2 linked regions of the Macaca fascicularis genome follow. The protein of the gene in region 1 binds, or shares a complex with, the protein of each later gene. Links are inferred from orthologs where the notes say so. Each region holds a gene or a part of one and is shown on either strand. Other genes may lie near its edges.

The links.
Region 2: the proteins of OGDH (region 1) and TCAIM are in contact, whole or in part, in a cryo-EM structure (PDB 8I0K), measured with the Homo sapiens proteins. The link is inferred for Macaca fascicularis from reciprocal best matches to the Homo sapiens genes OGDH and TCAIM. Residues at the interface, in NP_001425937.1 of Homo sapiens: Gly301, Tyr304, Arg323, Tyr354, Arg356, Ile358, Arg364, Asn365, Lys387, Glu391, Tyr394, Cys395, Gly396, Thr398, Glu399, Lys401, Lys402, Lys561, Met602, Pro605, Glu667, Gly668, Ile669, Asn709, Met734, Ala735, Ser736, Pro737, Asn738, Gln772; in NP_001269842.1 of Homo sapiens: Glu214, Gln234, Arg235, Ser236, Trp237, Gly238, His241, Ser244, His247, Ser248, Arg251, Gln255, Asp272, Arg273, Thr286, Met287, Asp288, Val289, His290, His291, Glu331, Leu332, Gln333, Pro334, Val335, Arg375, Tyr376, Glu441, Ser443, His473.

The regions. Positions count from the first base shown.
Region 1 is NC_088377.1:85,642,229-85,646,044, reverse strand, and holds part of OGDH (2-oxoglutarate dehydrogenase complex component E1), read left to right. Parts: intron 1-2,604; coding exon 2,605-2,768; intron 2,769-2,961; coding exon 2,962-3,116; intron 3,117-3,257; coding exon 3,258-3,378; 3' UTR 3,379-3,816. UniProt on the Homo sapiens protein: 2-oxoglutarate dehydrogenase (E1o) component of the 2-oxoglutarate dehydrogenase complex (OGDHC). Participates in the first step, rate limiting for the overall conversion of 2-oxoglutarate to succinyl-CoA and CO(2) catalyzed by the whole OGDHC.
Region 2 is NC_088376.1:107,207,780-107,211,595, reverse strand, and holds part of TCAIM (T-cell activation inhibitor, mitochondrial), read right to left. Parts: intron 1,496-3,816; coding exon 1,373-1,495; intron 1-1,372. UniProt on the Homo sapiens protein: May regulate T-cell apoptosis.

The sequences.
Region 1 (3,816 bases):
TCAGTGTACAAATATTTCTTTGAGTCCCTGCTTTCAGTTATTTTGAATATGTACTCAAGTGGAATTGCTGGACCATATGGTAATTCTATTTTTAGTTTTTTGAGGAACTGCCAAACTTTCCACAGTGGCTGCATTTTACATCCCACCAACAGTATATGAGGATCCCACCATCTCTGCATCCTCATCAGCACCTACTACTTTCTGGTTTTTTTCATAGTAGCCATCTTAATGGGTGTGAGATGATATTTCATCATTGGGTTTTGATTTACATTTGTCTAATGATTAAGTGATGTTGAGCATCTTTTCATATGCGTATTGGCCATTTGTATGTCTTCCTTGGAGAACTGTCTATTAAAATCCTTTTTTTTTTTTTTAAGAGACAGGGTCTCACTGTGTTGCCCAAGCTAGTCTTGAACTCCTGGGCTCAAGGAATCCTACTTTGGCCTCAAAGTATTCAGATTACAGGCATGAGCCACGGCACCCAGCCTATTCAAATCATTTGCCCATTTTTTAATCTGGTTGCTTGTTTTTGACTCTTAAGAGTTCTCTGTATATTCTAGATATTAATTCCTTATCAGAAATATAATTTGCAAATATTTTCTCCCATTCTATGGTTGCTCTTTTATTATGTTGTTAGTATCTTGGGGTTTGGGTTTGTTTTTTTTTTCATCGAGGTGGAGTCTTACTGTTACCCAGGCTGGAGTGCATTGGCGCAATCTCAGCTCGCTGCAACCTCTGCCTCCTGGGTTCAAGTGATTCTCCTGCCTCAGCCTCATGAGTAGCTGGGATTACAGGCGCACACCAGCATGCCTAGCTAATTTTTGTATTTTTAGTATAGACAGGGTTCCACCATGTTGGCCAGGCTGGTCTTAAACTCCTGACCTCAGGTGATCTGCCCACCTCGGCCTCCCAAAGTGCTGGGATTACAGGCATGAGCCACCACACCTGGCCTGTTGTTAGTATCTTCTGATGTACAAAAGTTTTTAATTTTCATGGAGTCAGATTTGTCTATTTTTTCTTCAGGTGCCTGTGACTTTGGTGTCATATCTAAGAAATCATTACCAATTCAGTGTTGCGAAACTTTTGCCCTATGTTTTCTTCTGAGTTTTATAGTTTTTGCTCTTATGTTTAGATCTTTGACCCACTTTGAGCTAATTTTTTTGTTGTGATTTTTATTTTTTGTGTTTTTTTGAGACAGAGTCTCACTCTGTCACCCAGGCTGGAGTGCAGTGATGCATTCATAGCTCACTGCAGCCTCAATTCCTGGGCTCAAGTGATCCTCCTACTTCAGCCTCCCAGAGTACTGGGATTACCTGTTTGAGCCACTGTGCCCAGCCTTTGATTTTTTTGTATCATAAATGGAATTGTTGGCCTAATTTCCTTTTCTTATTGTTCATTGTTCGTGTATAGAAACACAACTGGTTTTGGTTACGTGTATATGATGTGCAGTGCTTAGGTCAGGGTATTAGGGTGTCCATCACTCGAGTACAATACATGTTTGTTAACCTTACTCCTTTATCAGACGTTGACTTTATTCCTTCTGTGTATTTGTACCATTCAACCCACTTTTTTTTTTTTTTTTTTTTTTTTTTGAGATGGATTCTCACCCTGTCACCCAGGTTGGAGTGCAGAGGAGTGATCACGGATCACTGTAACCTCTGCCTCCCAGGCTAGAGTGATTCTCCCACCAAAGCCTCCCAAGTAGCTGGGAACACAAGGTGTGCACCACCGTGCCTGGCTAATTTTTGTACTTTTGTAGGGACAGAATATCACCATGTTGCCCAGGCTGGTCCCAAACTCCTGAGCTCAAGGGATCCTCCTGCCTCAGCCTCCCAAAGTGCTGTGGTGGCCTGAGCCACCACACCTGGCCAACACACTGTTCTCTATCTGAATATTTTCTCTGATTGTGTTGAAAGTTTTTTATATTTGTAAAATCCTGAGCAGCAGAAATGGAATAAACATGGGATTTTTTTTTTTTTCTTTTTTTTGGAGATGGAGTCTTGCTCTGTTGCCCAAGCTGTAGTGCATAATCTTGGCTCACTGCAACCTCTGCCTCCTGGACCCAACCGATTCTTCCACCTCAGCCTCCCCAGTAGCTGGGACCACAGGCACACGCCGCCACGCCAGGCTAATTTTTTGTATTTTTTTAGTAGAGGCGGGGTTTCACCATGTTGCCCAGGCTGGTCTCGAACTTCTAAACTCAGGCAATCTGCCAGCCTCAGCTTCCCAAAGTGTAGGATTGTAGACATGAGCCACTGCACCCAGCTGGGATGTTTTAATATACTTTTGTCCCTGAAGTCTGAGCGAAGCTGTTTTGAAGGCTAGCCTGGTGTTACTTGATAGCCAGAGCTGGCCATGTCTGCTGTGTATTTCTTACATATCATGTGCTTTTCAAAGTGCGCCTGGTCTGAGCAAATATAGGGCATCAGAGGCTGGTGAAGGGGAAGCATCTCTAACCCTTGAAAGCTGTGTGTCCTGGCAGCAGTCCATGGAGCCCTGGCTCCAGGAGCCCTCTGCTCACACAGCAGAAGTGAGATCAGGCCCAGGAGAGCTCTCAGCCACATCCCTGAGAGAACCAGCCCAGCCATGGGAACTCTCTTGTAGGAACCCACTTCCAGCGGGTGATCCCAGAAGATGGCCCTGCAGCTCAGAACCCAGAGAATGTCAAAAGGCTTCTTTTCTGCACCGGCAAAGTGTACTATGACCTCACCCGAGAGCGCAAAGCACGCGACATGGTGGGGCAGGTGGCCATCACAAGGATCGAGCAGGTGAGGGCGGGTGGTGCCATCAGGGTGTCCCCCATGTAGGGGTCAGGGCTCTGGTGCCTTCACAGAACAGCCTTGCCTGGGGTGTGGCCCTCAGGTTCCTGACCTTCCCTGCTCGGAACACCAGTTTCCCTTTGCTGGATCATGCCTGCCCTCTGAGTTTCCCCTTTTTGATCTGACCCCTGCTGTCTCCTAGCTGTCGCCATTCCCCTTTGACCTCCTGCTGAAGGAGGTGCAGAAGTACCCCAATGCTGAGCTGGCCTGGTGCCAGGAGGAGCACAAGAACCAAGGCTACTATGACTACGTGAAGCCAAGACTTCGGACCACCATCAGCCGCGCCAAGCCCGTCTGGTAAGGCTCAGTCCCCGCCAGGAAGGCTGTGGGACCCTCCTCTCAGGCCAGTAGGCGGTTAGCCAGGCACATGCAGCAGAGGGATGGGCTGGGCCCACTCAGTGGCCGCTGCCCTCACTGCCCCATCCCTCCATCTCTCAGGTATGCCGGCCGGGACCCAGCAGCTGCTCCAGCCACTGGCAACAAGAAGACCCACCTGACGGAGCTGCAGCGCCTCCTGGACACGGCCTTCGACCTGGACGTCTTTAAGAACTTCTCATAGATGCTGCCTAGGGTTGCTTGGGCCATTGCCCTCTCCACACCCATGACTGCCCCTTGCTTCTCAACTAAAGAATAGTGCCTCAGCGCTGCCCACACCACCGCCTTCCTCGCTGTGCCGCCACCCCTCCCTCTGCTCTCATAGGAGTTAGGCTGTCGTCCCCCTCCAGTGCTTGGCTGCCCCACAGGCCACACACTGCCCAGGCTCTGCTGACTTCCAGGAGGCCAGGGGGAGCAGGAGGAGGAAAGGTAGCCCCCGAGGGCTGTCCTTGGGGAGGGGTCAGCTCTGGCCACAACCCTCCCCACCAGTGTCACCTACTAGGGTAGGGACTGGGCCTTGTGTGGCTTCCTAGTGTGCTGGCAACCCCGTCACCCAGCAAGGCACAGGCTCCTGTATTTGAGACTAGGATAGCTTCATCTTGAGCCTGAGCCTTAGAATCTA
Region 2 (3,816 bases), on another chromosome or scaffold:
GAACCCCCTATAATAAAGTTTAATCTGAAAATGATTAGTGTGATGATAAAATAACAGATATATGCATACATTCAAACATTTCACACATGGAAGTCTAAAAGAATGCTTTTGAAATTCTGAATTATCTTATGATGATTTGATTATACAAGAACAGAACATGTAAATACTATCTGTACTCTGTAAACACAGGAAAAAAGGTGTTTTTATGGTACCCAAATAGTCATTTGTTTTAATATAAGAAAAAAAAGTCCTAATAATGAGAATTGAAAACAACAAAACAGGCTATAGCAAAAAGTAACAAAGATGTTTAAACATGAAGACTAGATGACGATTTTTCTGAGTTCTAGTGATGGGAAGTCCAATGACTGAATGACCTGACTCCTCCTTTTCCCTTCCTTAGAGTTTTAAGAACTGTTAAATCTATTCCGCAATAAATTTCAGCATGGATCTTTATATAACTGCAATTTTCAAGTTTATGAAAACTTACTTAAAAAGTTCCGCGATATAATATAGAACCAAGAATACAACATCCATTTTCTCCCTCCCCTCCTCTTTTTAAACTCAAATACTAATCTTTTAAAACACTTATTATTATTTAGAGATGGGGTCTCGCTATGTTGCCCAGGTTGGTCTCAAACTCCTGGCCTCAAGTGATTCTCCTGCCTTGACCTCCCAAAGTGCTGGAAGTATGAGTCACTGTGCCTGGCCTTAAATATCTTATAAGATGGGGGCATAATTATTTTTTATATATTTTGTGTATATGGAATAGGGTATTTTTCCTACAAACTTATTATGTAAAAAAGTTTATTATGCCAAAAATGTCAGTACTTAAGCCTTACTTCTTTATCTATATATAGAAGAAAGAAGTAACATATATATAAATTGAGACGAAGTCTTGCTCTATCACCTAGGCTGCAAGGCAGTGATGCAATTATAGCTCACTGCAGCCTCAAGCTCCTGGGCTTAAGTGATCCTCTTGCCTCATCCTTCCAAGTAGCTGAGACTACAGGTGCAGGCCACCGTGCCTAGCTAATTTTTTTTTTAAGTTTTGTAGAGATAGGGTCTATTAGCCTGTTGCCCAGGCTAGTCTTGAACTCCTGGGCTCAAGTGATCCTCCCACCTTGGCCTCCCAAAGTGCTCGGATTACAGGCAAGAGCCACTGTGCACAGCCTTACTTCAATATTTAAAATAAGAAATTACTAAGAGTTTTCTTACACAGATGAACATTTCATGATGTTCATAAAGATAATTGAAGAGTACTCAGCTATCAGAGCAAAAGTTAAAGATGCAAATATTTAGCTGCTGAAAAGCTTATCAGTTGGTAATTCATATTCATTTTAATTTCTAAATTAGGTTCTCTCTTCTTTATTACCTGATATCTGACAGTTGCAATTGATGAGACAGTTCATCTTTTAAACGATCTAGTTCTTTTCTAAGTGGCAAACTGTTCTTTAGCTTTTTAACAGCACTTTTCCCATTGTTATCTAACCAGGATCTAGAAGGAAAAGAGAGAGAGGGAGATATATATATGTATATATATATATATATATATACACACAGACTCTTTATAATACTAACCATAATATAAGTATTTCTACTATTAAAAGACACATGTATGCACTTGCATATTCACAATAGCAAAGACTTGGAATCAACCTAATCAATAGATTGGATAAAGAAAATGTGGTATATATATACGATGGAATACTATGCAGCCATAAAAAAGAATGAGTTCTTGTATTTCATGGGAACATGGATGAAGCCGGAGGCTATCATCCTTAGCAAACTAACACAGGAACAGAAAACCAAATACTGCATGTTCTCACTTATAAACAGGAGCTAAATGATGAGACCACATGGACACAAAGACGGGAACAACAGACACTGGGGCCCACTTGAAGGTAGAGGATAGAAGAGAGGATCAGTAAAAACAACTATAGGGTACTAGGCTTAGTACCTAGGTAACAAAATGAACTGTACAACAAACCCCTGTGGTGAGAGTTTATTTATATAACAAACCTACACATTAAAAAAAAGAACCTAAAAGTTAAAAAAAATTGTACTAAAAAAAAAAAGGACACATACATTATCTTAAAGCAGCCCCAGTGTTAAACCGAGTTTTCAATCAAACCTTTACTTCTACCTATTCTTTTTCAGAAATACCTACTTTTAAAATAAGTTGCTTGGAGAACTGCCAACACCTGTCAAATCATATTCTATGCAACTTCCTTTGCATATTAAAAAATTAAATTTTAATTATATCAAACCTGTCACTAGATTTCTAGATATAATTTTTTTTAATTAAAAATACTTCAAAGTGTGTTTATTACAACCTTCAGTAAGCTATACTAGATCTTCACTGATGTCAGTCATACACATATGGGAGGGTAGAACTAATTATGGAATAAGTGACCAAATATTATAATAGAGCTAAAAAGGTGTAAAAGTCAAACTCAACAGACATATCTGATGAGACTAGTGACAATTAAGAGGCAATGGGTCCTATGAAGGAATATGAAAAGATTACTTTGTGGATTCTAGCTGGGTGGACTCCAGTTTCTGCCTTTTTAGTCTTGGATACTACTACCCTGAGCTCCCAATGCTTATTCCCTCATCCCTGTAACCTAGTCCCTCTGACTGGTCAGACCTTACCAATCTAGTCATTTTGCCACACCCTCCTTCCAGGAGGGCCTCTTCACTACCCTGGTGCTCAGTGACACCTCCATTCCTTTCCACCCAACCAAATGTCCAGTTTCAGTCTCGTCTCAACTATATCAACTCTATAATAAGCTCAGCAGAAAGATGTTCTCTAAACCTGTATTTCTTAGAATGTTTACCTCAATAGTCTTACAAGAACTAAATATCAAAAATGCTTTGGCCGGGTGTGGTGGCTCAAGTCTGTGATCCCAGAACTTTGGGAGGCTGAGGTGGGCGGATCATGAGGTCAGGAGTTCGAGACCAGCCTGGCCAACGTGCTGAAACCCCATATCTACTAAAAAATACAAAAAATTAGCCGGGCGTGTTGGTGTGCACCTGTAATCCCAGCTACTTAGGAGGCTGAGGCAGAAGAATCGCTTGAACCGGGAGGCGGAGGTTGCAGTGAGCTGAGATCACGCCACTGCACTCCAGAGCTTGGGTGACAGAGTGAGACTCTGTCCAAAAATTAAAAAAAAAAAAAAAAAAATCTTTAAGGATTAGAAGATAGCTTTCAGCAAACAGCTGAAAGCCTGTGTGGCCTTCTAGAGAGCAGCACCACCTCTGTAGAAACCGTCTCTCACTTGGTGCTATAATCATGACACAAGGGTGCTTGTTAGTGCTCAGGGTCACTGGCTACCCAAGGGAAGTCCAGAGAAATGAGTGACCTGGATGGAGTCCTGGGAGGCTGACAAGCTGCTGCAGGAGTGGGTGGTGAGGGGGCAGGGACAGAATGGTAGTGACTCTGGGCTGAGGGGAACATTTCAGATTCCAAAACAAAGTGGTGGGGAGTGGGCCCTAGGCATTACTATGCAAGAGAAAACTCCAGGAAAACCAGAGGTTCCCTTTCTTCTTCTTATTTTTTTGTACAGACTAGGTCTCACTTTGGTGCCCAGGCTGGCCCCAAACTTCTGTGCTCAAGGGATTCTCCTGCCTCAGCCCGCCAAAATGCTAGGATTATAGGCATGAGCCACCATTTTTTCTTAAAAAAATTTTTTTTAATTGGCTGTGCTAATCTTCTCTGTATTGTTCCAATTTTTTTGAGATGGGGTCTAACTATGTTGCCCAGGCTGGAATAGATTGGTGTGATCATGGCTCACCGCAGTCTCGACCTCCTGGGCT